Elephas maximus indicus: one gene and its partner. The protein of the gene in region 1 purifies or fractionates together with the protein of each later gene. This does not show direct contact. Links are inferred from orthologs where the notes say so. Each region holds a gene or a part of one and is shown on either strand. Other genes may lie near its edges.

Region 1 (14,983 bases):
TTCAGCCATCCTGCCCTGGCTTAGGCTCAAGAACCCTGAGGACAGCAGTGGATGTCCCTTCATATTGGATCTCTATGGAGACGAGGAGGCTGGGCCTCCTGCCTCACAGGGAGAGGCCTCTGGCAGTAGGATTGGTGTTAACTCTTTCTCTTTTTTTTTTTGGTCTCCTCCCCCTCCTGCTGCCTACAGGAAGCACCCAGACTTTGGAGTGGGGATGAGGGGATAGTCACTTACCTCCCCAAGACACAGCTCCTTCTTAATCAGCTCCTTTAGTTCCCTCCTACTCAGGGTCAGTTTGCTGCCCTCTCTCCCTGAATATTTGTGGAAAGTGGTAACCATGGTGGCCAGGGCCTTCTCAAGAGGAGTCTCCATCACAGTTTGCAACTCTGGAGGGTGAAGGACAGATCACATTCTTCAGGAAGCCAGATCTTGTGTTTCCCCCCATCAACAGCCCACCTACAAGACCCTCTTTCAAACAACCAGAGTCTAGACCCCATGGTGAGATGGAGGTCCACCAGCAACTGGACTCAGATGCATCAGGACAGGCTATGAAGAGACCAAGGCAAACCTTGGAGCAGCCAGAGTGATGAGACCAGCAGCCACCAAAGGAGACTGTAGACTCTCCTGCTTTGGAGATGTTTGAAAAAAGGGACTAGGGCAGAGGGATGACACATTGACCTCCTGAAAAGAACTGGTGACAGATTGTGGAGCACATAAAACATCAGGATTTTCTCTCTGCCCCATTGAGCTTGGGCACTGCTTAAGTCCCCGCCCCAGTCACTCTCCTTTGCCCCAGTGCCTGAATGATCTGATACTGGGGAGTATCCCATTACAGAAGTGGGGAACAGGGCAAAAAGAATCCAGGGGTTGGAGGGGGCTGGACCTGGAAAGAGAGATAAGGTCTCAACAGGAAGCAGGAGAGAGGCACTTGGGCTTGCCCAGCTGGTTTCCAATCTCTAGTCCAGAGAATTGCACACACATGAGCTGGCCAAGAGGCCTGGGGGATGGACTTATGCTTTGCCAGGATCATTCTGAGACTTGGATCCAGAGGTTGGGCTTAAATGGAGCCCTCAATTCCACCAGCACAGCCACCCCCATCCAAGGGAAGAGGCAGCTGGAGCTCCTATGGCTCAGACTTGAAAACCACTTCCCCCTTAGGGAGGAAGGAGGCAACACCCAAGAAACTTAGGGGCTGCAGCTAAGTGGAGGATACTGAGCAAGAAAGGAGAAGGTGCTGGATCTCACCCCTAGCCCAAAGCCCACGTGTAATTTTTTACCTCCCACTGCCCAGAAACCTCAGCTTCTCCCCACCTCAGGGAGACTCAACCAGGACCACAGTCAGAGGCAAGGGACTCTGGGCGTCTGCAGGGGTATCCTGGCTGGTTCTGATCTCCACCCTCACCTCCAGAGAATTTCTCAGGAAAGTTCTGGTAACCACAGTTCCACATACTCTAACCCATTCCTCCCTGAGCACACACCCACTTATCAGGCCAGACCTCCCTTTGCAGAGGGTCACACAGCTTGTCACCCTCTCATCTCATCTCCCAGCTCGCCCCACCGGATGATGGACACGAGAAGGAAGGACTCACCAAAGGAAGGAGCAAGCCCAGAGAATCGCAGCGGCAGAAACAGGTTCCCTCCCACTGCTCTCTGCCTTTATTCCCTTGCTCCAGTCCCCAGGAAACCAAGGACAAGAAAGGACCAATGAGAAGGGGTCAGGGACATGAAAAGGCCCAGGTCAGAGCCTCCTGGGATGGAGGTGAGGAGAAACCCCCTCCACCAATCTCATCTTGCTCGTTTACAGACAGACGGAATGGGGGCACTCTGAGTTCATCACGACACACAAGTCTTTGGAGCCAGAAACATTTTCCAATCCAAAAATCAGAACTCACAATCTGATGGGACAACCAGGAGTAAGGGGGGAAATCAGGCTGCCTGGAAAGAAAATCCAGGTGGTGTGGGTCAAACTCAGGGTGTCTCCCCATTCCCTAGACCGCTCTCCACATTGGGACACTACTACCCACCCTCCCAGTCACCCCAAGAGCGGAGCAAATGCACCTGGAGGTGGGGATCTGTGAGGGAAGATGTTTCCTGTCAAGGGCATGGGCAAGGTCACTGGCTAGTACAGAGCCTAAAGTATTTAAGGTGTTTTTAAAGAAACGATTTCTTCTAAACCTCACTGATGTTCATGGGAAAGAATTGTTGGAGACCCTTGGAGGACAAGAAGCAGGAATTGGCGAGGGGATCCAGGGAAGGGTTAGGACCTAGTGATGGGGCAGAGTCCAGGTTCAGGGTGCAGTCATGGATCAGGTAGGGAGAAGAGAGAGTTGCCCACATTCCAAAGAGGATAAGACACCAACCAGTCCGAGTATGAGACCATTACCAAGTTAGAAGCTTAGCAACCAATGGTTGCCACAGTATCACCTTAGCCTGCCTGGGACTTCCCCACTGCCCACTCTACCCTCACCCCTAGCTGGCAGGGCTAGAAAGGCAGCAGGGACTGGTTGCTAGGCAACAGGAGTTTCCGAAGCAGTGAGTCAAGCGGGAGTCCCTGGGGACGGCACAGGCTGGGGGAGGAGGAGTAAGGAGGGAAAGAGAAGGGGGAGAAAGCAAACTTTTTCCTGGATCAAAATTCTTCCCAAGTTTCCGTGGCCAAACTCTGAGGGAACCTCTGAGTCACCTACCGCATGTTTCTGAAACTTAAGAGAAAAACACAGTGTAATGAGTGGAAGAAGGAAAAGCTTGAGAGGTCAAGGGGACCAAACGCTGCCTCTGAACCTGACCTCGACTCATGTCTTCCATCAAGGTACGCGATACCATCCAGGCATGGCCTTGAGGTCCAACATCAATCCTGTCCACTGCACACTGGAACCCACTGGGTTTAACCTACCCTAATCTTTTTTTTTTAATCAAAGCAACATCATGCCTGACATTTTCTGGGAAAAAAAAATCTCAATTTCATTTATCAGATCATGTCCGAAGTTTTGTCTCAAAAAATATGGTCACTTCCCCACCATCTCCCTCACTCCCACCCTAGCCACCAATCTCCACTCATCCTTCCCAAGGCCCCTTGTCCTTCTCTGAAAGCCATGATCCCTAATTGGTAACAGATCTCATCCCATGGGACTTTGGAGCAGGGACAGCGGGTTGGAGAATGGCTATATTCTCATGCTGCTGCAAACAGCCCAATCTCTCTCTGTATCGCCTCCCTGATCCAAACATGGGCAGCAAAGGATTAATCCATCCCTGTGGTTTGAAGCCAGTGGACTGTAAATGTCAGGCCTGAAAGCCAGCCCTCTGGCTCAGGAAAACCTCCCCCACACACACCCCGGCCTCAGCTACTCCCTCCCCATGACTCAACTTTATTTCCTCCCTCCCCCCCCTTACCCTCAGGGCACCCAAACTCTTTTTCCAGACCCCCATCTAGGAGCAGATGTGACCTTCAAGCCCATCCCAGCCTCAGTTAGAGTCCCTGCCAGAGGCAAGGCTGGAACAGGATGGGAGGCGAGAATGGGCTGGCTAAGATCTCACAGTTGGGCATTCCAAGCTTCTGGTGGCCCCTTTCCCTGCCTTCAGCCCCATCCACAGTCAGCTGTCGCCTCCCACACACGCACACCCTCAGTCACTCCACGCCCCTCCCCCATCTTCACTAGTCAGCTCCCCATAAAACTGCACTTCAACTACCAGCACTGCCCACCACCATCCCACAAACCCTTACCTCCCCTGGTATCCCCCTTAGCCCCCAGACCAGCAGGCTCTTGGTTTTCAAGAATCTTTATTGAATTTGCTCCGCATCATGCACATGCTTAGAGGAGCCGGGGTAAGTGACCACCCCCACTGCCTGCAGGGGAGACCCCAGCCAGCAGAGCCCCCGACCACATATGAGGAACATTCATTTCTTCCTGGGCTGCTTATCAGGGCAGCCTTCAAAGAACTCGTTACACATCATGGCAATGCAGGACAGGAAGACAGAGTACTCCTGGAAGTCCACCTCATTGTCCTTGTTGCTGTCCAAGTTGCTCATTAGCTTCTGAAACGCAGCTTCATCCGTTCTTTTCTGGAGGAAGAAGAGGCTACAGGTAAAAACTGAAGCCCAGTGGAAGAGCCAAGACTAGAACCAGGTTTCCACCTCAAACTCAGAGCTCCAAAGGCTTACATAGCCACTCTCTTAGGGGTCTCGGCCTTTGAAACTCCAACCCTCAGGGCTAAGCTACAACAGGAAGAGGATGTCCCTGGGATGAGGAAGAGTTTCCTGAGTACCTGGATGTTGTCACTTGAAAAATGGGGCCACAACATCTTCTCCCAGGGTTAAGAATCCAATTAGTTTTCCTGAGGGGTTTATGTTAATGGTGGTAGAATAATTTGGAAATGAATCAATGTCATTGAATTATACATGTGGAAATTGTTGAATTGGCTTTGTTTTGTTGTGTGTATTTTTCACTACAATTTAAAAAAATTCAATTAGGTAATGGTCATGAAAGCAATACATAAACTGTATAAAGTTTGATACAAATGGAAGCTGTTATCATTTGGGGGAAGGTCTGTAGGGGTATGAGGTGTCTCCATAACTGTATCTTCACATTCACAGGACAAATTGAAATTCAAAGATCGTCCATTCCTGGAGTAGTCGCAAGACTCAGGCAGTCTGTTCAAATCTCAGTTTTGTGCTCTAGATGCCTTGGGAAGTTATTTTAGCCTCTTTAAGCTTCAGTTTTCCTTCCAGTTAGGTTATATAGTCAGTGCAAAACATCGCATAGTATCTAGGCCATCATCTACCTGTTCAGCCTCAGTCTGCTTCCTGTCTGGGACTAGTCAGTGAGTGGGGGTGTTCACTGTGCTTCTGCGCCAGGCATCCAATGCGAGCTCTCTGCCCCATCTCCCACTGCCCCGTTCCATAGCTAATGGTCTACAAAAGACCCATGCCTTCCAGGGCCTTGTCCTTCCTGCGTGGGAACTCCCCATGGGGGCATCCTCCGAGGTGGCACCTACTCACCCCTAAGAAGCTGGGAAGCTCCCGGGTCAACAGCTCCTTTAGCTCTGACTTGTTGAGCTTGAACTTGTCACCCTCCTTGCCTGAGTACTTGTGGAAAGTGGACACCATCACATCCAGGGCATTCTCCAGAGGGTGTGCCATGGCAGCTGTCAGGATCTGGGGGAGAGGCACCCTTATCTACCCCACCCCCAGCTATGTGTCCACAGTGCCCCACCCCACTCCCCATCCCTCTAGGATCCCTTGGTGAGATACTACTTCCATGGTGGGAGGAGCCCAGGAAGGTGGGCTCAGCTTCTAGGGGTGGAGGTGGGCATGTGGAGCAGGAAATACATGCTTGGAGTAGCAAACATGTGCAGGGCCCACTGCACGGGCTCTGGAGATTCAGGCTGGGTCTCCCCAGGGCGGTGGCTCAACAACAACGCTTTTTCCACAGCTCAGTCAGTTCATTCACCCCCAAAGCCAGCCCACAGCCTCCAGCCCCAGCCCATTCTTTTTGCTCCCAGTGCTGGGCGCGGCCCCTGGAAGCCTGCCCAGGGGCCCATAGCAGGAAAAAACCAGCCGCCTTGTGCCTGGTGTGAGGCAGGGCAGGACAAAGTGGCACAGACAGGGATTAGGAGGAAGAAGGGGAGGCGCAGGGCTGCATGGCTCCTTGCAGGGCTCACATGACACCACCAGACAGAAACCCACAGTTGCTTTCAGCCTCCATTTGCCTTACCACACCTGACCATGCACACACAGTCTCATGCAACCCAGCAAACACAAGCTAGTGTGCCTTCACATGGTCACGCACACACCAAACACACTGCAGCGACAGTGTATGCAACTCCCAGCATCTCAGCCCCCCTCTGACCTTTCTGTGTGTTTGTTTTTCTGTCTTACAAACACACACATCCCACCCCAGAGCCTCCACATCAGGATCTTACATCTGGATCCATTTACCATATCTGGCCCCCACCCACTTCCCCTTCTCCTGCCCCAGAGCCTTGGTCTGACACCTCTTTCATGCCAGTCAGGCGACCACAACTCACCAGACCAAGCGACAGGAAACGCTGAGCAGAGAGAAAGGGCTGGGGAGAGAGAAAAATGGGGGAAGCTCAGCGGTCTGACCTATTTATACCCTGGCCAGGCCCTGCCCATGGCAGGGGATGGGGGAGAGTGGAGACAGCCCTCCTGCCGTGGGCCCATGTGGTAAGTGCCACGGCCCCTCAACCAGCCCAGCCTGGACACAACCTTCCAGCCCCCAGCAGGCACAGATGGGCAGTGGGTGAGCACAGAGGGCACAGACAAGGACCTCCATGGGTGGGCACCACCCAACATATAGAGCTCAGCCCTTAGGAAGCCGGAAGGAGGGGCCTAGCATGTGCAGAGACAGGGAAGGAGTAGTCACCCCAGGCAGTAGGAAAGCTAGGGTTGGTGGGCGACAGATGGGAAATTCCCCTGGATATATGGCTGCCCAGAAACCAAGGGAGGGGAGCCCTAGGCCTAGTGCTGCAAGGAATGTCCCAAATGGAGCTCTACCAGGTTGAATAAGGCGGGGGGTCGGAGAACCAGAGGTCAGGAAGGGGAATGGACTAACCCAAAGGAGGCTGTGGGAATGCCTGAGGAATGTTTGCAAAGAAAGGTCCTGGGTGAGGCAGTGACAGTGAGGAGTGGGGAGCCAGGCATGAGCGCACAGGGATAGACTGAAAGGGGCTGGGGCTTAGGGGTAGACTGTCAGGATGGGGAGTTTAGAGTTCCAGTGGGTGTCAGAAATGAAAAATCCAGGTTGGGGTGGAGAACTGGAGGTGAAATGGTTCAGAATGAGGGAGTCAGGGGTCAATGTTAAGGTCCCAGGGTTGGGTGTAAGCTCAGGGATAAAGTAGCTTTGGCCTCAGGGATAGGCTTTCCTCAAGGTATCCCTTCCCCCTCCAGCTCAGGCTGGGAGCAGACACCTCAGACACCCTAATCCTATTACTACTGCCTTCTGGGCCACCACAGCCCAGATTGGGAACAAACACCCCACCCACCCACCCCCAACAGCCCCTCCCCTCCTGCTCAGAATATCCTGACTGGGCAGAGTTCAGCAACATGGTCCCCAAGGAAGCTTAGGCTGCCCTCCTGCCCTCCATGAAAGCCCAAGGGGACCTCTCCCTCAAAAAGCCCAGAGAAAGAGAGGCTTTCTCAGGTCCTCCCAGGACTGGAGTCCTGTGTGTGACCCTGCCCCACCTACTGGAAACTTCAGCCCCTTTCATTTCTATGGGGTCTGAAACTACCTTCAGGGTCCTCTGGGAACTCAGGGCTCCTCCCCTCAGCCTCCTGTCCTCATTGGAAAAGACCAGAAAGGAGCAACAATCTCAGCAGAAGAACCAAACCAAGTCCAGCTGACACCAGTTCTTTATTAGGAGTTAATAGGCCCTTTCCCATCCATGGTCTCCTGTGTGCCCATACTCTGCTGAGCCTTAACTTCCTCAAAACAGACTCCCACCTCTTCCCACCCTGGCCCACAGGCCCCAGGTAGAAGGTGCAGCCCTCAGAGGGCAGGATGGAGCCAGTCGCTGCTCTACCCACCACCAGGTGTGCATCCTTGGCAAGGTCCCTCAGATCTCTGAGCTTCCTTGTAAAATGGGTCAACGTATCAGGGGTGAATCTGGGGGACTCTAGACTGAAAGAGGTACAGGCCAGAGGGCAGGGAGGGGTATGGTGACCTGCCCAGGACCACCTCAGGGGCAGAGGTGGGCCAGACCGCTGCACTCCAGGCTGGCCCATTCCTCTGGAGCAGAGGCTACTGGGAGCAGGGAGGATCCGAGGGGCAGTCCTTGAAGTACTCATGGCAGTAGAGACAGAGGCAGGCTAGTGAACGCACGTACTCAGCGAAGTCCACCTCACAGTCCTTGTCGGTGTCCAGAACACGCATGAATTTATTGTAGTCACACTCTCGAAACTCCATCTGTGCAAGGGAGGGGTGTAGGGGGCAAGATGAGGAGGGCCAAGCAGCTTCATACACTCCTGTCCTCCCTCCCTTCCTAGGTGCTCCCACCCCATCCCAATCCACGTCCCTTGGGAGGGCCAGCCTCAGCCTACCTGTTCTGATGATGAGCCCATTTCAATCCCCCTCCCAAAACCTCCTTCTCACATCATTTATTGAACACCTACTTTTTGCCACTGAGTGCCTGCTATGAGCCAGACATTTTTCACAGTGCTCTCGGGCAATACTTGCAACAACCCTGCAGGCTGCAGGTGTGATGATTGTTCTTCCATTTCACAGACTAGGAAACTGAGGTTCCTGCTGTGTCAGTCCCCTTGCTGTCACCTCCATGCGGTCTAGCCTCCACCCTTCCTGCTGTCCTATGCTCATACTTGTCCCCAGGTCTCTCTTTACAGAATCCAAGCAGTACCTCCTCACTGGATGGGGAAGGAGGATGGGCCCCGGGCTGCTCACCGGGGTCCAGGTGGGCATCTCGTTCTGCAGCAGCTCCTTGAGCTCCGCCTGGCAGAGCTTATGCTTATCCCCACAGCGCCCTGCATACTCCCCGAAGGTACACACGATGGTAGCCACCGCCTGCTCCAAGGGTCTGGTCATCCTCACTGTCACAGAACAAGGGTGTGACTCACGGCGGAGGTCCAGGCCAGCCTCCCTGCTCACCTTGCCCTCTGCATTCCCCAGACACTGCTCCCAGACCATCTTACTCTCCCCTAGGCTTTGGGCCACAAGCTACCCCCTCTCTGAGCAGCCCTCTCTGACCACACCAATCAAAAAAAAAAAAAACCAAACCCATTGCCATTGAGTCAATTCCAACTCATCCTATAAGACAGAGTAGAACTGCCCCATAAAGGGTTTGCAAGGAGCACCTGCTGGATTCGAACTTCTGACCTTTTGGTTAGCAGCTGAGTGCTTTAGCCACTGTGCCACCAGAGCTCCCTGACCACACCAGCCCCTCCTAATTCATCTCACTACTGCCCCCTGGGTGTTATTTTCCTGGGTGGGAGTCTCATTTCCCTCATTTCACTGAAAACCCCTCAAAGACAGAGTGTCTGTCTGACCCTTCCACCTTCCCTCCCCACCAAGAGAGTCCCTCAGGACTCTCTGGTTCTCTCCCACCTTTACTCAGTCCCCAACACCAAGGAAGGGCCCAGCCCCACTCCGTAGGTGCAGCCCATGGCCCTAGAAGTCTCCTCCCTCAGGACCCAGAGTTCCTTCCCTACGAACTCGCCCAAGGAGACCCTCAGCCAGCGCTGCCTTATCCTCAGGCCCTTACAGACGCTGGGCAGTAGAAGGACAGTCAAGTCTAGGAGGACCCCTGCCGCCTCACCACCACTCCTCTAGTGATCCCTCTTCCCTCAAACTGAAGGAGGCTGCATCCAAAGGGAAAACTTCTAGAATCCTCTCTACCTCTCTCCTAACTGTGACAATGGTGCATTTATCCTATCTGGATCTCAGGTGCCTTACCTATAAAATGGAATTAATCCCACCCCACGGCCTGGTCAGGGACTTGACCCAGATGGCCAGCTCCAGCATTTACCAACCCCTGACCCTCCCACCCGAGACCATCCCCTGACCCAGGGATCTTGAGATAGAAGGCCCTGTTAGAGGGGAAGCCATTCCTGGAATTGCCCACCTCCTCCAATTCCGGTGTCCCCACCCAGTACTCTCTGGGAGGAGGCTTCTAGCCCGGGGAACCTAAGGCAGCAGGAAGGCAAGAGTTGTTCCCATGTGAGCCTAATGACTCACCCCTGGCTCCCCCAGGGGACGGGAGTCCTGCAACGAAGAGCAGCAACCACCAAGGCTCTCTCCTTAATGATTCACCCTTTGTGGGCCCTGTGGAGCAAATGGCCCACGTGGCTGGTGGGTGGCGGGAAGGCTTGGGTGGTACCAAAAACTGCCCGGGCTCTAACTCTGACAGCCAAGGATTAGAACAGGGTGTCCAGGAGCCCAGGATAGGAAGGGGCCATGATCCTAGGGGCTAAGGGAAACTCAGAGGTGTTCAGCATGCCCTTCTGGGCCCCCGCCAGCCTGCCTGGCACCACCACTGTTGCCATTCCAGAAGCTGGGTGCCTGGAGACTGGCTGGGAATCCTCTCTTTCCTGTGCAGCCCTGGCCTGTCTCAACCCGTCCCCAGGAATGAAGCAGAGAAGCAAGGAGGAGGCAGAGGGAGCTCACTGAAGGTAACGCCCACATTTCTAGCCCATGCCCCTACCCAGAGCCAGATCCCAGCTCTGCACACCTCCTAGCCCAACTTCCTGACAGCCGCTCACTGCCAAAGGGAACCCCCCAGCCTACCATATCTGACTTCTCTCACCCTGTCAATCCCTGCCATGGTCATCCTTCTGCCCCCATGCCCAGACCTTGATCCAGGAGAGAGGCAGGCCATTGGGGGCCCCTGAGTTTCCCCAACACCCTACCCAAGGCAGGACCCAAGCAGCTGGCACTCACCACTGGGTTGACGTTTCAGTTGTAGGAGCCTAGAGACAGGGCATCCCTATTTGTAGCTTCCCAAGAGAGGAAGGGAGTAATTATGGGGTACTCAACTAGGTCAGCTTTGGGGATGCCCTAGGGGCTCCCCGCCTCCTTCCTCAGCAGCCTCTATTACAGCCCTAGCTGCCCACCTGTTCATGAACACATCAAAGGCCCAGTCTGGGGTCTCAGACAGTGCCCCGTGCCCTCCCCCAGAGTCAGGAGCTGGGTGCAGCCTCCTTTTCTTTTCCTTCCAACGTGGTTTGGAGGACATAGGTTGGGCTGGTCCGTACATCCATCCTCCTAGCTCTTCACTCTGAGGAGATACCCCAAGAATACAAAGTGGGGAAACAATTTTCCCTCACTGAGCTGGCTCTCCAGAGAATCCCCTTGCCAGAGCAAGGACTTTCAGGAGAACCTGGTTGAGCCCTTTCACTTATAGATGAGAAGGCCGAGACCTGAGATATCCTCCCTGCCTAATCCCTAGATCACTTTTTCGGTGCTTCATCATTTTCTTTCGAATATGAACTGCTCAGTTCCCTGGGGAAAATCTTTGTGGGATTTCTTTGAGGTGTAGGATGAAGTCATAAAGATGTGTTCCTCCTAGTGCAATTGCAGAAGCTTGGGCTTAAGTTTCTTGCCCTCCCTTGCCCCACTAAGTGATACAGATGAATCTGGGCTGCTGTGTGTCTAGAGTTACTCAGGGGCTGTTTCCTTTCCTCTTCTGCTCTGTTTAGCACCAAGGCAACTTTTCTTGCAGTCCCACAGGGGTCAGGTGGGGTTTCCTCTGACTTTTAGCTTAAACGTGTAGCTCTCTGGGGTCCCAGCATTATGGAGGGCCTCCCATTTGTCTCCCCTCCTCAGGTGAACCCGAGGTCATTCCTCTCTGGCAACCATCAAAGCCAAGTTCAGGTGCCTTGGTTTGGCTGGTGCCCTCAGGGCCTTGGTGCTCTGGTCACCTCCTGGACTTGGCTTCCACTTCAGAGTGTGGCCTACTCATTTCTTACTCCCCTGTCAGCACTTTGCTGCTTCAAAAAAGACTTTGAAATTCTATCCAGCAATTTTAGTGGTTTTTCGCTGTTAGTTTTTTCCAGAAATGGAAATCCCTTCATAATGCTTCCCTAGTCTCTCCCCCATCCTCTAAGCCTGAGAGGCCCCCTGCCCGCTTCACAGGAAAAGAACCCAAGACCCAGAAGAGCATGGGAGAGGGAAAAGAGGTTGCCCCCATGACTCTGAAGAAGTCTTTAATGAGATTTTGACCTCACCTCAAGCACCCAAACCTTGCGGATACCATTATCTCCTTGAAGACTCAGCCCCACGTGCGTGATGGGAGAGAGCAATGGGGGAGGGAAAATGGGAGGGAGAGCTGTGATTAGCCTTGTTTTATAGGCAAGGAATTATGCGAAGGGGGGTGAGCAGAGACCAAAGGATGGTCACTCAGCAGACGTGAGGAAAACCCTGGACCAGCAATTAATTCAGATCTAGGTCAAGCACTTATTCCTGCCTATGTTTTTTTTTTTTATGATATTCTAGCTCTGCCCCCAGCCACCTCCCTTAAGCAGGCCACATCACTCTTTGGGTCTGTAATGGATTGAATTGTGTCCCCCAAAAAATGTGTCTCAAGTTGGCTAATCCGTGATTCCCAGCATTGTATGATTGTCCACCATTTTGTCATCTGACGTGATTTTCCTATGTGTTGTAAATCCTATCTCTATGATGTTAATGAGGTGGGATTAGCGGCAGTTATGTTACTGGGGCAGGACTCAATCTACAAGATTAGGTTTTGTCTTAGGTCAATCTCTTTTGAGATACGAAAGAGAAGCTAGCAAAGGGACGGGGGACCTCATACCACCAAGAAACCAGAGCCAGGAGAATAGCACGTCCTTTGGACCCAGGGTCCCTGTGCTGAGAAGCTCCTCGACTGGGGAAGATTGATGACAAGGACCTTCCCCCAGAAGCAACAGAAGGAGAAGGCCTTCCCCTGGCACCCCAAATTGGACTTCTAGCCTCCTAGACTGTGAGAAAATAAACTTCTGTTTGTTAAAGCCATCCATTTGTGGTATTTCTGTTATAGCAGCAGTAGATGACCAAGACAGGGTCTCATTTTCCTCCTTTGTCAGTGATGGAGGATAACAATGGCAACTACTTCAAAGAGTTGCTGTGGAACTTAAATGAGTGTTTACATACAAAGCTCATAGAAGAAACAGTGCCTAGCACATAGAAAGGGCTCAAAAAATGCTGAGAAGTTGGTAACTTGCCCAAGGTCACATAACTAGTAAGTAGTAGGCCTAAGATAAATTCACTGCTCGTATAAATATTTAGAGGTACCCATACTAGGCACTGCAAACCCTGGTGGAGCAGTGGTTAAGAGCTATGGCTGCAAACCAAAAGGTCAGCGGTTCGAATCCACCAGGCGCTCCTTGGAAACCCTATGGGGCAGTTCTACTCTGTCCTATTGGGTGGCTATGTGTCAGAATTGACTCAATGGCAATGGGTTTTTTGGTATACTAGGCATTGGAGCTCTGGTGGTACGGTGGGTAACAAGCTCAGTTGCTAATTGAAAGGTTAGAGGTTCGAGTCCACCCACAGGTGCCTTGGAAGAAAAGCCTAGCAATCTACTTTTGAAAAATCAGTCATTGAAAAGGCTATGGAGAACAGTTCTACTGTGACACACATGGGGTTGCCAGGAGTCAGAATTGATTTGACAGCACCTGAGGGTATAGATATAAACAAAATAGGTGAAGTCCCTGGTCCGAGGGAGATGACAATCCAGTGGGGAAAACAGACAATAAAAAATAAATGTGTAATAGTGATCCAAACATTATAGAGAAAAATAAACCAGAGATATGGGAAAGAAAACAATGGTGAGGCCATATATGAGTGGTCAGGGAAGAACCCAGCAGCCTGGCTCCTTACCCACTAGCCTTCTCAGCTCAGCCGCACAGCCCTAGGAAGCAGCACTTTTGTTTGCTGACTGGGAGAGCTGGAGAGGCTGAGACGGAAGAGGGGGCAGGAGCTCCCTCTGGGAAGGTAGGTAGCTGAGGAGTGGGTGGGGGAACAGAAAGGATGCGTGCAGGCACTTTGGGCTTGGGGACTGTTGTGGGAGGAACACTTACCCTGACCCTCACTTCAAGTTCCACCACCCTCTTGCCATCTGACCCCAAGCACGTGCCTTACTTTGTTTGGGCCTTAATTTCCTTGACTCCAGAATGGGTTCAGAAGATTCCAACCCAAAGAATTCAATGTAATAAAGATTGTGAAAGTACTTCATATCACTTGCCATTACCGTGGACGATGCCGGGGCAGAGATCTGAGTCTAACTCAACAAACGAAGGCTCAGTCACCTCCATGGAGGGCAGGAAGGGGATGTGGAAGGAGAGGGCCAGCCCCTGCTCACCAGGTCATTCAGTGCAGCCTTGTACCTCCACAAAGGTAGAGGGTAGAGCTATAACTTCTTTTGCCTGCCCAAATGCTTCTTGTGATTGGAACCTCCCTGCCCTGCAGAAAATTCTTCCCCAGCAACTACCCTGTATCCCACCGTGGCTCCAAATGCATACCGCAAAAACCATCCCTCTAAGGCCCAGACAGGAACCAGCTTCCCCTTTTCCCAGCCCCTACTGGCCACACACTCAGTCCTCCACCTTTGGACAGAGCCTGGTCCCCTTGGCCTCTCCCCTTCCCAGAACTCCCCTGGTACAGATGTTGAGCTGACCGCTGAAAAATGCACCGCACCTGGAGGATAAGAATCTCTCCCTGCAGGCAGGAGCAGGGTGAGGGTGTATGAAGGGTGAGAGCAGGTGCTATCTGATCTGGCAGGACTTCTACAGCACTGACCCTCTCCGTCTTTCTCTCTCTCCCTCCCTCTTTCTTCCCATTATCACCATCATCTCCTGGGAAACTGCACTGCCCCCCTGAAGGTCAGTGTCTGGCTCTGCACCTCCGTCAGATATCATACGTAAGAAGCATCCTAGAGCACCTGGACATTTCATGTGTTTGTGTCAAAAGGGCTCCACGGAGGGTGATCCTGCCCCCAATCCCGTAGTCTCAGGTGATCAATGAGCCTTGTCAGATTGATTGACCTCCTTCCTCATTCTCTCAGCCACATTCAGGGGAAGGGTAAAACCCCTTGCCATCGAGTTGGTTCCAACTCATAGCGACCCCACAAGACAGAGTGGAACTGCCGCATAAAGTTTCCAAGGAGTGGCTGGTGGATTCAAAATGCCGACCTTTTGGTTTACAGCTATAGCACTTAACCACTATGCCAGCAGGGCTTCAGAAGGGGTATTTGATTACTGGGGCTGGAACCGAGGAGACTTTTGCTCCATAACTGGGGAGAAGAGGATGTGAAGTAGAATTAAGGAGATACAGTGGGGCTTGGACCTAGTACCTCCTTTGATTGGCAAGCCAATGCCTGAGCGTGCCCATTTCACAGATGGAAGCAGTGAGACAGTGGGGAGATCCAGTGCTCTAAAGATGGGAGCATGAGGAGCCCTATTTCAGTCACTCCCTTGCCACAGAATCCACCTTTGTCCATAGTCTCCCTTTTCATGGAGGATCAG
Region 2 (14,848 bases), on another chromosome or scaffold:
AACTCAGATAGTTGTGACCACATATGGGAGAAATCTGAGGGTGTACCTTATTTGCCATGGCCTGACACAACATTCCCTGAAGGCTCACATGAAAAGAGAAGATAATCAGAGAACAGCAGGGACCGGAGGATGGAGGGATTGGAATGGACGGTGTGGCAGGGAGTCAGCAACTTGGGGAGAACAGCCAGAGGCTTTGGAGAAAACGTGACCCACGTTTGAACTCTTCAAATCATGAGTCTTTCACATTTTTACGGAAACCTTTTAAAATGTACATTTTAAATTAATATTACCTTTTTTTTTTAACGTAGGAATAGATACGAATGTATTACGGTAACTTATCAGATCAGAAGTCAGTCAAGAATGCTTACTTTCCCCATTTACACTCTATTTTTTCTTTTTTATATGTCACAGGTCATGATGTCTATCAGTGTTTTTACTCCCTTAGTTGAAAATTGTATTTTTGTAATTTGTGCTAACTTTGGGATTGCCTCTTAATTAAAACTGCTAAATAATCACTTTTGGGATTTCATTACCTGATCCCTCTCAGATGTGGATCAAGGTCATAATCCTTAGCTTTATCTATTGGGGAAGCATTAAAAGAATGTTCTAGGGTAACTTATCACATTAGACCTAAAGTAAACAAAATTATCCACTTGGCTCAAACAACTAGACATATTTTTCCATTTTCCCTCTTAAACTTAGAGCTTAATAAAGCACATAACTCTCCATCATTTAACACATGATAACATTTCAAAATCAAAACAGAGACTCTTGCCTGGAATGAGCTAAATGAATATGTCCTGTTCAGTAGTTTTGTTTTTTTTTTTTGCCACAGGAGAAAACTTCTGATTTTAAAATGAATTTGTTCATTTTTAGAAGTCTGCAGTTATAGCTATGCTATTAAAACAAAATCATTCTTATAGACTGAATAGCCTTTCAATGTAATAGGCTACTAGTATTACTATTTTCTTTTCTCTTACTTTCCCACCAGTGCCCCCTCAAAAAAAAAAACTGCTGTTGATTCTGATTCGTGGCTGCCCACGTCTGATAAAATGAAAGTATTAAACAAACAGCAAAAATTAGTAGTGAAGGAATAACCTACATCCTACAGGAAACCTGTGGATCTCCTCGGCCTAGGCAAAATAATAATCAGAATGTTTTGGCTAGAAATGTCCAGTTACACTGATGAGAAGATTAATATCGGCCTAAGTACACAGACTCTAGAGTCTGCTATCATTAAACACGAATGAAACCGTAATTATGTAATTGGTATCATTAACAAGTCCTTTTCCAAAATTGGGAGCTTCTCCACATTTCTGTACCCTTTTCTCACAAGAAATGAAGTAGGTGTGTGGAATTTGTAACAAAACTCCCCTTTGTAACTGGGCCCTTCCTTCCCCCACTGGAAAGGTAACCAGTTAAATGTTTTCCACAGTATTCCCTTTATAATTAGCTATCTGCCAGGCTCTTTGACAAACACTCAACATATATTAGCTTGTAGGAGCCTCACAATTCTGTGTGGCACATACCATCAACCCCATTTGATAGATGAGGAAACTGAAGCACAGAGCTTAAGAAACATTCCCAAAATCATACAGGCTTCTAAGAGTCACAGCCAATATTAAAATTCAGGTCTGCTATCTCCAGAGCCTACATTTGTAACCACTAAGATAAAATCCTGCCGCCTTCATCATTCTACAGCTTTTCTACACCAGAACTTCCTTATTTGTTATTTTAGCAATTTCCTCATATACATATAGAGGGAATTTGCTAGGATACTCTTTCTTCGTTTCTAAGATGCCATCAATTTTTGTCACACTATTAATTTTAAAAAGATCCCAGCTAAAATTTGTATACATCTCACTTTTTAGAACATAAAACACATTGTAACTTCAGAAATATTAAAATGGGAGAAATCTACCATTATCAGCAAATCATTAAGTTATAAGCATAAGACTTTCTACATGTTGGATTCTTGAAACTGGTTCAAGTTCTCTTTTGGTGCTAAAAATAAAGTTACCACAGCAGATGTACTCAAACTACTCATTTTTCACCAAACAATCATTCCTGCTTTCTCTTTCCCAGTTTACTTTTTGCCCTTTGCCATCTTCTTTCACTCACAGTGTGTTTGAAAAAAAAAAAAAGCACACTTAATTTGAACGGGCAAGAGTCAAGACGGAAGACTAGACAGACATAGAACAAGTTTAACAGCAACAACAACAAAAAATGGGTGCCAAAAAGAATTATCTCTGGATCAACATCTTGGGTTTTTTGTTTGTTTGCTTGTTGTGTTATTGCTTTTGGATGAAAACGGAATCTTAAAAAGTTGTGTAAAGTATTTGCCATTTTGTAGATACTTCATTTTAAGACATTAAATATTAAAACAGGGAGCAAACGAAACCACAAGCCAACAAGTTATTATCCACCCAAGGAATAAATTTAACACAACAAACAACTTCGGTTCACTCAAATGTGAATCTGATTTTATCATTTGTGAAACATCATCACAAACGTAATTACTGAGTATCATCTACTATATGCCGGGCATTATTCTCGGCACCAGGAATAGAGTGAGCTGTTTTGTTTTTAAACAAGGCAAAAATTCCTGATTTATGATGTTTACAGTCCAGTTGCAGAGACAGAACATAAATGATATAAATATAAACATGGCAAAAAACACAGCATGTAAGAACGTGGTAAGTGCTAAGATAGAAATAACACGCTTTGTTACTCTTGAGTAAGGGGAGAAGCCACTGGAGACATGTCAAAAAGGAATAAGTGACATGATCTGACTTATAGCCAGATACCATCATCATCACCTTTTATCTTTTCCAGAAATACTTTAATAGAACAGACTGAGTGCATGTTAATAAATATATTTCAGATACAAGTCAAAAATGCAACCATAGGTACCCTTCTGCTATGGCTAGCTTGGTGGCCTCTGGATATGGGTTAGAAACAGATTCTTTTTCAACAGAAAATCTCTTTCCCACTTTATAATGAATGGTCAGAAAAATATGGGGTATAGAAGGGATGAGAAGGAAGTAGACAGAGGCTAGGAAAAAATGCATCTAAACACCTAGATTCAGAGCATGAAGCAATCCCCAAGAAGTCAGCAAACTTGGATCCTTAAATCTGTAGAGGGGAAGCTTGCAGAATTGAATAATGAGGCACCATGTAATAAAAAATATCTACAATTGTCAAGTTTATGTAGGGACACCACCACTAAAAGATCGATTGTACTATTTGCACTCAGAATACAGAGGTAAGTTGGATGGGAACAAAAGAACATTCAGGAGAAGACTGGTATGAACACCAGGATTTGTGTTATATCACACAAAAACGCATTAGCTATAAAAAAAAATTAGCTATAGGAGGTACTATTAAGTCTCCCAAAGCAAATAGTTTCCATTTCCACCAGAGATCCAAAAACAGGTCCTAATTCTTTCATACGATTTGCATTAGCTTTTCTATAAACACAACTAATTCATAAGCATAGTAATGCATCTTACTGAAGATTCCTTTAAATACTTACAAACTGCCATCTTTTCCATCTTCTCCTTTGAATATGCTTTTGTAACCTTCTTTACATTTTATGTGTTCGATACATATTAAAACCAGGGCATTTACCAATGTGATTAGAGAAAGGGCAGCTCTGTCATGCCATCTGTTTTTGAGAAGGATGCCTAGAACAGGCCTTGCTGTTCTGTGAGTAAGGGCACCATTTAAAATCCACCTCCACAACTTAACTTGCGCACCGGAATTGAAATGATTGCCAAGAACCACTAGATGGCACTTTACATCAAATACTCCTACAAGCCTCTATTATCTATTCATTATGCTTTTCCATCTAGAATGGCTATTGGGTTAACTGCTGTCAATTTGAACTCATATAGATACAGATGAGAACTTTAATGGACAGACAGCTAAATTAGTGGCGATGAGGCAATATAGGTATTAAAAAAAAAAAAAAACCCACTGCTGTTGAGTTGATTTTGACTCAGAGTAACAATACAGGACAGAATAGAACTACCCCATAGGGTTTCCAAGGAGCAGCTGATGGATTCAAACTCCCGACTTTTTGGTTAGCAGCCAGGCTCTTAACCACTGTGCCACCAGAGCTCCATATTCATAGCAACCCTATAGGACAGAACAGAACTACCCCACAGGGTTTCCAAGGAGCAGCTGAGGGATTCTAACTGCCCACCTTTTGGTTAGCAGCTGAGCACTTAATCACTGCACCACCAGGGTTCCCAATATGGGTATAGATAGTGAGACTGGTGACACAATGTTAAGTATGTAACCAGTGTCATTGAACTGTTCATGTAGAAATTGTGAATGGAGGTATGTTTGGTTGTATATTATTGCCACCAAAAAAAATAGTCTGCCTGATTGTCAAAACCCATAGGACTCTACAACACAAAGAGTGGACCTTAAAGTAAACTAAGGTCTTTAGTTAATAATCATGTATCAGTTCATCAACTGTAACAAATGTACCACAGGAATGCAAGATGTTAATTTAAAAAAAAAAAAGAGTTGCTCTCAGTCCCTTTACAGTAAACTTCCCAATATTACTAAGAAAGTATCTATTATGTGCAAACTTTGTCCCTTATGGCACTATTTGTTTTAGCCACAGTAGGTCACTCAGACACAATCTAAAAGCTAGTCCACTTTTATGGGCAGAATCAGGCGGCCTAACAGCACTTTAAAAAAATTTTCCTTAGAGTGAAAAGGGAACTGGGATCACATAAGGGATAAAATTAAAACAAAGCTGTTGTACTATAATTTTTTTTCTCTTGTTCTAATCAGCTACTCTAGCCTCTAAATTTTAGAATAAGTGACAAAAGATTCACAGCATGGGGCTTTTAACATGCAGAGACACCTACCATTTGGCTCTGAAGCCATTCCATCAGCGTTTCTGCTGTTGAATCTGGGATCTGGCACCTCAAGCCTTCTTTCTCATCTGTTTCCATCATCTCCAACAATCCACGCAGGTCCTCCACAAGGTGCAGTGCTCGCAAGCTTCCCATGAATGGGGAGGTGGGAGACTGGCAATCAAAAATCCCATTAGAATATTCCAGGGCCTTAGAACCTAGGTTAAAAATATCACAAGGAAAGCGATGGGGTTTACATTAGATAAAACGCCAGAGCTGAAGATAGTAAACAAGTTTAATTACAATAAGGAACAATCAAACCAAAACAAAGAACGGGAAAAAAACACGGGGGGGGGGGGGTCAGATAATAATTCAATCATGTAAATCCCCCTCCACACCATAGTTATATGGTACAAAAATATACCATATACAGTCCATCCTCATTATTTCATATTTGCCAACTGGCCTACTCACTAAAATTTATTTGTAACCCCAAAATCAATACCCATGGTGCTTTCGTGGTCATTCACAGATACGTCCACTCAGAGAGCGGCAAAAAATTTGAGGAGCTCAGTGTACAACCCTGGTTTGGTATTCACTAATTCAACGTTCGTAGGAATTTACAGAACATAACTACACGAACAATGAGAATCAGCTGTAATCAATAGTCCAATCCCTAACAGAAAGGCCAACTGTTAAGCAGAAAAAAGGTACGGTGGGTTTTGGCAAGAAGTACACTGGCCTCTACCTGAAAACCTCTGACGGAGGGAGGCAGGTCAGTTTGTATGGAGCTACGCATTCCAGAAAACACAAATTTTAGGGACCAGGAAGTCTTTAAACTCTTTTAAAAAAGTTACACATTGAAGTGGAAACTGCATAGCATAATTTCAAAGGTAAGAAAAGAAGGCCAGTTTCCAGTTAATTTACCAGAATTTAATCTCTGAAGAAGTTCAATGAATTACATGTGTATGTGTGTGTGAGCATGTTTGTATAAATACTTTTCCCCATGATTTTGTTTGCAGCCTAAACCTCAAAAAGGCTACTGTTAATGTCAGCTTTTTTTTAACAATAGTTATACGGTTAGTTTTATAGTTAAAACATTTATATAGTTAGCTTTCTATTACTTCCAATGAAACCATTCTACCATACTACTTAAATTCACACTGCTAATCCATAGCCCATTCTGATGTGTCAAATATACAAACTACTTGTTTACTAAAACATACAAGTCCCATTCCAGTGGTTCTTAAGCATTAGCATTACTGACGAGATTACTATAAATATATATGCCCATATCCCTCCACAACAAGGCATCTAGGAAAAAAAAAAAAAAATCTAGGAGAATATATAAATCGTAAATCCTTCAAATAATGCTCCAAAAAATCACTTATCTCAACCAGAGTTTTGCTAAGAATGTAAGGTTATACTCTCTGGCAAAAGCCTAGAATTGATTCTAGTTATATTTTCAGATATCCTAGAAGAGTCAGTTCAATCTCTCTTCCACAAAATAGCCCTTCAATGTTTGAAAACATATATCATGCCCCAAGTAAGAACAGTTTTCTAGATTACATTTAACTAGTTCCTTCAAATGATCTTTACTAATGTGACTGTTTTATTCTTCACCATCATGTTTGCCACCTCTAGACAACTTTTAGCTTGCCAATAACCCTTTGAAAACAATATTCCAAAAACTGAATACAGTATTCAATGTGCAGTCTAATATGCAAAGGAGATTCAACTGAAGTCTGGTCTCTAGGACAGAGTATAACAGATAAGGTCAAACTATGACATGCCACTTTCCTCAGGAGAAGCCACCACTGCAAGGGGGTCACCTACTTGTCACCCCCTCTGCCATGATGAGCAAACAAGGATGTAGTGATCTTTGCTCTGCTGTCACAATAGAAAACTGTTGACGATTCTTAACCAGGGAGTAATCCAACCAAGTCTGTGTTTTAGAAAGTGATGTCTGGTGGTCTAGGAAAGAATGGACTAGAGTGGAAAAGCCAGAATATCCGGACATCGAGTGGGTGGGTGTCTTGGACAAGCCAAGACAATGGTAGCACAGACAGGACAGATTCTAGAAAGGATAAAAGGAAGAGGCAGAATTTTAGGAGGAGGTAGAAATGTTAGAATTCGATTAATTAAATGTGGAGCATGAGGGACAAAAGTATCTGGAACGACTTAAATTTCTTGTTTAAGAAACTATGTGGATGAAGGGTTATGAACAGAAAGGCTTCCAAGGAAAGATAACGACCTTAATGTGTTAAATGATGACAGTGATGTACCTACAGGACATTTCAGGAGAGATATCTGGTTGGCAGTTAGAGATAGCAAAGAATTTTGAAGCTTAGCAAAGAATTGGGAAAGTCAAAGATATGGATGAGAGAGTCACTGAAGGAAAAGTGAATGTTGAGTTCAAGGAAGCAGATCAGAACATGCATAGATACTAGGTAAAGAAGTGTCCTTCCAGGCGCAGCCCACAGACCACTGTACCAGAATCATCAAGATGCAGATTCTTTATCATTGATCAGAAGCTAGGGTGGAATTGGATTTTAATTGGATTTTGGATTTTAAACTAATGCTTGAGGATAATTCTGGTATAGAATGGAAAAGGGCAGAAAAGATGAAACCATAGGGAACCTAAAGGCACTGGAGAGAGTCAAAACACAGAAACAAGAAAGAAGATAGGAAGATAATAAGAGAGTTGTAATGAAAAAGCCAAGAGAGCTGAGTACATGCCATGATTCCAGCTTCTGGAAGACATGGATTACCTGCTATAATACCGTCCATCTGTTCCAACGCTGCAGCCAACATGTCACTTGCATCACTCATCATTTTCTTATATTTCAATGGCAAATTCCAACCTAGATCTGAAAAAATAATGATGTTATCATTACATCCTTTAAATAACACATGCTTGCTATTGCTAGCAGGTTTGCTGATTCAACTTCAAATTATAACTCCACTTAGCAGTCATATCTGAAGACAGGACTTCTAAAGTAGTTAAGCTGAGTTAACTGAATCATTCAACAAGCCGTGGTCAAGCATCTACTGTACTGCAAGACCACAGGCTACATCTGTATCAGTTAAAGTTTCAGTCCTTGTACTCAAGGTATTTAAAACTCAATAGAATGCTTTTCACGCTATATTCTGTAGAGCTCTAGGACTCTCTGAAGTGCTTTGGGAATGGCTATGGAATCTTGCTGAGGACCATGACTGCTGAGTAGACAAGACTTCCTTCTCCTTGCACCAGCCCCACTCAATCTCTGCTATCTTAACTTTGCTACCCCTTCCCTTTTATTGGAGCACCAGTGGTGCAATGGTTAAGACCTCGGGTGCTAACCAAAAGGTCGGCAGTTAGAACCTACCAGCTGCTCCTCGTAAACCCTATGGGGCAGTTCTACTCTGTCCTACAGGGTCACTATGAGTTAGAATCGACTCGACAGCGATGGATTTGGTTTTGGTTTTTTCCCTTGTGTTAGGGTTTACCATAAGATCTGTCTAAGAAAACAGCTTCACTCACATATATACTAAACACACACATATACAAACATACTGGTATTTTAGAATGTAACAATAAACCCATTGCCATCAAGTCAATTCCGACTCACAGTGACCCTACAGGACAGAGCAGAACAGAACTGCCCCATTGGGTTTCCAAGAAGCAGTGGTGAGTTCGAACTGCCAGCCTTTTGGTTAGCAGCCAAACTCTTAACCACTTCACCACCAGGGCTCCAATGTAACAATACCTACCATGTATTGAGTGCCTACAATGGTCTCTATACATTCATATAATTTATCCATAATCTTTAATAGTGACAACTCTATAAAATGGATATATTTATCTCCATTTTATAGATAAAGACCAAAGACATTTGTTGAGTTTTGCATAAACACACAGCAAGTAAATATAACAAAGCTCATTTTAACCTAGATCTGTCTAATTTCCACTACAATATCGAACTTCTGTTAATCTGATCTCATCTGGGCAAGTGTTCAGAAACAATAAATCTCCGTGTTTTCACAGACTTTGACAGTATAAATGAAGGATCACGGGGCCTATTTCATGTTGAAATTGTGTCAGAATCTATTCATCTTTCTACCTGTTTAAAAATATATTGAGGTCTTAAATGCTAACAAGCGGCCATCTAAGATGCATCAATTGGTCTCAACCCACCTGGATCAAAGGAGAATGAAGAACACCAAGGTCACACAATAACTAAGAGCCCAAGAGACAGAAAGGGCCACATGAACTAGAGACTTACATCATCCTGAGACCAAAAGAACTAGATGGTGCCTGGCTACAACCGATGACTGCCCTGGCAGGGAGCACAACAGAGAACTCCTGAGGGAGCAGGAGATCAGTGGGATGCAGACCCGCAATTCTCACAAAAAGACCATACTTAATGGTCTGACTGAGACTAGAGGAATCCCGGCAGTCATGGTCCCTAAACCTTCTGTTGGCCCAGGACAGGAACCATTCCCGAAGACAACTCAACAGTCATGAAAGGGACTGGACAATGGGTAGGAGAGAGATGCTGATGAAGAGTGAGCTAATGATATCAGGTGGACACTTGAGACTGTGTTGGCATCTCCTGTCGGGGGGGGAGGGGGATGGGAGGATAGAGAGAGTTGGAAGCTGGCAAAATTGTCACGAAAGGAGAGACTGGAAGGGCTGACTCATTAGGCGGAGAGCAAGTGGGAGAACGGAGTAAGGTGTATATAAACTTATATGTGACAGTCTGACTTGATTTGTAAATGTTCACTTGAAGCTCAATAAAAGTTAATTAAAAAAACAATAAAAAAATAAATTATTAAAAACAGCATTAAAAAATATATTGAAATCACTCTTGCAAAAAATTTGGTCATTCACAAGGAAAAGTTAAGATTATGTGACTTTCAACATTAATGAATACATTTCAAGTAGCAGACTAAGCATCCATGTATATTCTCCCAACAGGCCTGAATAAGATGACTCCTCTTTGCAGACACCGTGGTATAGCAATGACCTGGTAAAGAAAAAGTATGCTGTTTAACAGAAACCTTTGTCCTGTTTCTAAGCAGCCCGATCTCACCTACCACTTTATGTTCATAAATATACATACAGTTCGAGTAAACAGCATCTCACTCAGTTCTCTACTATGCATTCAATCTAGTAAAATGCCATATAATCACTGTGAAATCTTACTTTGATTTTACAGTAGTTTCATCTAAGAGTTTTCTAGAAATTTACTCACTTCAAAAGGTGTAAATTATCACCACCATTTTATGTGGGAAAACTACAGTATAAAAATGCTCAAGGCAGTTGTATAAAGTCACTCAGAAACCACTGGGTGGGGGAAAATGAGGGTGGGGGTTTAACCCAGATAGTTTTCAAAACCTTACTTGCACGTTCAGCTAGTGCACAGTCCAAAGGGAGAGGGTACAAAAGCAACAACTGCCTTCGTGCTGGAAAACTCAGAATGTGATAATGGAGAACACAAAGGATCAAGCCGAAGAATGCAAGCTACCTGAATTTCATATAATTAAGTGGCTTTTACTCCCTTTCATTTTAAAAGTAGCACTTCAAAGAGCTCTAGATATTCTGATATACACATATTAAAAACAAATGGACACATGCCAGGCTTAGCTATAAACATGGCGGATACCAATAAAACAGAGTAATACCCGTGTTAGAAAAACACTCTCACCACCTCACAAAATCAGAAAAATATGTGTCTTTGTTAGCAGCTGTATTTTGCATAGAGTACAAGCATTTTTTACAAGTATGATAGGTAGTTATCTATTTCTTCTCTGTTCTTTCAACGAGACTTTCAAATGCTGTGATATAGAGGCACGGGACAACCTAAATTGCACTTTTCAAACTGATGAAGAACCAGTTTTTTTTTTTTTTTCCCTAATTCATTAAAAACCAATACTTCTTTTAATATATAAAAATATTGTGACAATATTAAATTGCTATAAAAGTTTATAAAAACTCTCAATCGCTATACTTATTATGTAGTAGACTAGGATCGGCTGAGTGCAACTTGGAGTACCACAAAGCTAGACCACCTATGGAAACCCTGGTGGAGTTGTGGTTAAGTGCTACGGCTGCTAACCAAAGGGTCAGTAGTTCAAATCCGCCAGGCGCTCCTTGGAAACTCTATGGGGAAGTTCTACTCTATCCTGTAAGGTTGCTATGAGTCAGAATTGATTTGATGGCAATGGGCTTATGATAAACATGTTCAAGGCCTTAAAAGGTAAAGATGACGATAACGAGTGAACAGTTTGAGAATCTTAGAAGCGAAAAGAAAACTATTTAAAAAAAAACAAATATAAATTATTCAAATTGGGTGGAAATGATACCACGTGGAAGCTTAAATCTACATAAAGGAATGAAAAGTACATAGTAAACACAGAAAATATAAATATGTTTATAAAATTTTTTTAAAATCATTTTCCTTTTCTTTTTTACTTTAAAATACAATTGACAATTTAAAGAGGAAAATACACTGTAAGGCTGTTAGTATATGGAGTAGTAAAATATATGGCAAAAATAATGCAAAGGATAGAAGGGGGTTAAGTGGAAGTATAGTATTGTTGAATGCTTACATTATACATGAAGATGTTTAATACTAGTTCATGATAGATGGATAATAAGTTAAGAATATATAATGCAATCCACTGAAACTATAAAACAAAGATATACAGGTATGTGCTGCATAACGTCCATCCGGGCAATGTCCAACCACACAAACATCCAAGGTCCCATAAGGTTATAACAGAGCTCAGAGATTCTGATCAGAGAACAGGACATAGCAGAGGTACTTTAGTAAGTACTGTAGATCCTAGATGTCCCTCACTAGCTCTCTGGATCCTGTGTCAACCCCGGCCCTGGGGCGGCAGGAGGGAGGGGTCCCAATGCCCATCCACACATGCCTGTCCCACTGTGCTCACCTCTGGCAGGGACCATGCAGATGCTGCCACAGCACCAAAGGGGATGCCCCGCGAGGCCACTGCCCCACTCGGCCAGGGCGGCCTGTGCATTATGGCCAGGCCTGAGACCATAGCTCCTCCCACGGTAGCAGCCACAGAGCAGTCTGGGCTGCAGCAGTGGTGGGAGGAGGAACAGGAAAGGCAACCTTAATACTCAATCCAAAAGAAGGCAGAAATGAAGGTAATACAGACGTATGAGAGAAACAGAAAACAAACGGCAAGACAGTAGACTTAAACTCAACTATATAAATAATTACATTAAATATACATGGAACATTTTAATAAAAGCCAGAGACTGTCATACCAGCACACATGTACAAAAAACCCTGAGTATATATATTTTTATATATTGTTTATAAGAGGTGTTCTTTAAGTATGAAGAAATATAAATGTAAAAGAATGGAAAATGAGAAGCCATGCACAGAGAAAGCATAAGAAAGCAGGAGTGGTTATATTAACATAACAAAAACTAGACTTCAAATCAAGCATCACTGGAAATAAAGCAGGACATTTGATAATGTTAAAAGAGTCAATTCATCACGAAGGCATAGCAATCACAAATGTTTCTGCACACTTCAAAATACATGAGGCAAAAGCTGACAGAATTAAGGAATAATTAGACAAATTTCATCCATTTATATTTAATATAATTATTAATATGATTGGGGTTAAGTCTATTGTCCTGTTATTTTTTTCTGTTTGTCCCATCTGTCATTTATTTCTGCTTTTTCAATCATCTTTTGAGTTGGTAGACAAACTAGGAAAAAACAAGAAGAGGAATAATATCAGAGATTTGAATAACATAATCAACCACCTTGGCCTACTTGAATCTATAGAACAAAACACCAACATGCAAAACATATATTCTTTACAAATACACATGTTGTAGTAACAAGAACAGGCCATGTATACAAGGCCACAAAATAAGTCTCACTAAATTTCAAAAGGGTTTTAAAGAACTTCACACAGGAATAAAAAAGGCAACCTGAAGTGATAAAGTACTAACACCATGAAAAGAACCTCCCTATTTATTAAAATTCTGACCTTGACTCTGGCTTGAGTTATTTTATAGGCAGTCTAATTTTCATGATTGGTTCAAAGTTTCCAAAAAAGGAAAGACAGCTTCAAAAAACCTCATGCTTTAAAAAGATGGGATTGCCATGAGTCAGATTTGACCAGATAGCAACTGAGAGGAAATATATCTGAGAGCAAGATTCCCCTGGCCTTTCTCCCATACTTGAGTTATAATAAATCCAAATCAAACAAATTGTGATATATGAATACAATGGAATACTACTCCACAATAAAAAAAGACTGAGCTACTGATACATACAACATTATGTTGCACAAAAGAAGTCAGACACAAAAGACTACTGATTTTCACACAAATAAGGCATGCCTTCTATGTTTGCCAACCATGCCCTTCCCCTGGAGGGTATTTTCATAAGTGTGCTATGCTAATTTTTTTCAGCAACATGTACACACTAGGTACATATTGTAATTACTATGTGACTCTTTTTATATGAAATTTAAGAACAGGCAAACCTATGGTGATAGAAAATAAAACAATATTTCCCTGTGGCAAGTGGTGAATGAGTTGAAAGAAAACTGGGGGGACTTTCTGTTCAATATCTTGATTGGGGTTTTGGTTATACAAGTTTATACATTTGTCAAAATTCATCAAATTGTACATTTAAGATCTGTGCATTTCACTGTATGTAAATTTTACCTCAAATAAAGAAAAATTAGTAGAAAAAATAATTGTTAAAAATTAGAAATGAAATATTTTTTAAATGAAATAAATGGATGAATCAGGGAAATGCAAATTAAAACTACGATGAGATTCCATCTCACTCCAACAAGGCTGGCATTAATCCAAAAAACACAAAATAATAAATGTTGGAGAGGCTGCAGAGAGACTGGAACTCTTATACACTGCTGGTGGGAATGTAAAACGGTACAACCACTTTGGAAATCTATCTGGTGTTTCCTTAAAAAATTAGAAATAAAACTACCATTAAAAAAAAAAAAAATCCAGAAATCCTACTCCTCGGAATATATCCTAGAGAAATAAGAGCCTTCACACGAACAGATATATGCACAACCATGTTTATTGCAGCACCGTTTACAACAGCAAAAAGCTGGAAGCAACCAAGGTGTCCATCAACGGATGAATGGATAAATAAATTATGGTATATTCACATAATGGAATACTACACATCGATAAAGAACAGTGATGAACCTGTGAAACATTTCATAACACGGAGGAACCTGGAAGGCATTATGCTGAGTGAAATTAGTCAGATGCAAAAGGACAAATGTTGCATAAGACCACTATTATAAGATAATGGGAAATAGTATAAACTGAGAAGAACACGTTCTTTTGTAGTTACAAGACGGGGGAGGGAGGGTGGGAGAGGGTTATTTACTGATTAGATAGTAGATAAGAACTTCTTTAGGTGAAGGGAAGGACAATACTCAATACAGGGAAGGTCAGCTCAACTGTCCGGGATAAACTGAATGCTTCGACGGTCAGCGGAGCAAGGGCGGGGGTTTGGAGACTATGGCTTCAGGGGACATCTAAGTCAATTGGCAAAATAAATTCTATTAAGAAAACATTCTGCATCCCACTTTGAAGAGTGGCTCTGGGGTCTTAAATGCTAACAAGCGGCCATCTAAGATGCATCAATTGGTCTCAACCCACCTGGTGCAAAGGAGAATGAAGAACACCAAGGTCACAAGATAATTATGAGCCCAAGAGACAGAAAGGGCCACATGAACTAGAGACTTACATCATCCTGAGACCAAAAGAACTAGATGGTGCCTGGCTACAACCGATGACTGCCCTGACAGGGAGCACAACACAGAACCCCTGAGGGAGCAGGAGAACAGTGGGATGCAGACCCCAAATTCTCATAAAAAGACCATACTTAATGGTCTGACTGAGTCTAGAAGAATCCCAGCGGTCATGGTCCCCAAACCTTCTGTTGGCCCAG

The links.
Region 2: the proteins of S100A4 (region 1) and PPFIBP1 purify together in Homo sapiens (co-immunoprecipitation; 3 studies listed by BioGRID and IntAct, with this or other methods). This does not show direct contact. The link is inferred for Elephas maximus indicus from reciprocal best matches to the Homo sapiens genes S100A4 and PPFIBP1.

Annotation. Positions count from the first base shown.
Region 1 is NC_064821.1:191,395,711-191,410,693, forward strand, and holds S100A4 (protein S100-A4), read right to left. Parts: upstream 6,111-14,983; 5' UTR 6,022-6,110; intron 5,150-6,021; 5' UTR 5,135-5,149; coding exon 4,994-5,134; intron 4,058-4,993; coding exon 3,893-4,057; 3' UTR 3,759-3,892; downstream 1-3,758. Other genes in the region: S100A5 (protein S100-A5), read right to left, coding at 235-372; S100A3 (protein S100-A3), read right to left, coding at 7,755-7,919, 8,412-8,552. UniProt on the Homo sapiens protein: Calcium-binding protein that plays a role in various cellular processes including motility, angiogenesis, cell differentiation, apoptosis, and autophagy.
Region 2 is NC_064822.1:86,400,370-86,415,217, reverse strand, and holds the start of PPFIBP1 (liprin-beta-1), read right to left. Parts: upstream 7,745-14,848; 5' UTR 7,710-7,744; coding exon 7,646-7,709; intron 5,093-7,645; coding exon 4,887-5,092; intron 1-4,886. UniProt on the Homo sapiens protein: May regulate the disassembly of focal adhesions. Did not bind receptor-like tyrosine phosphatases type 2A.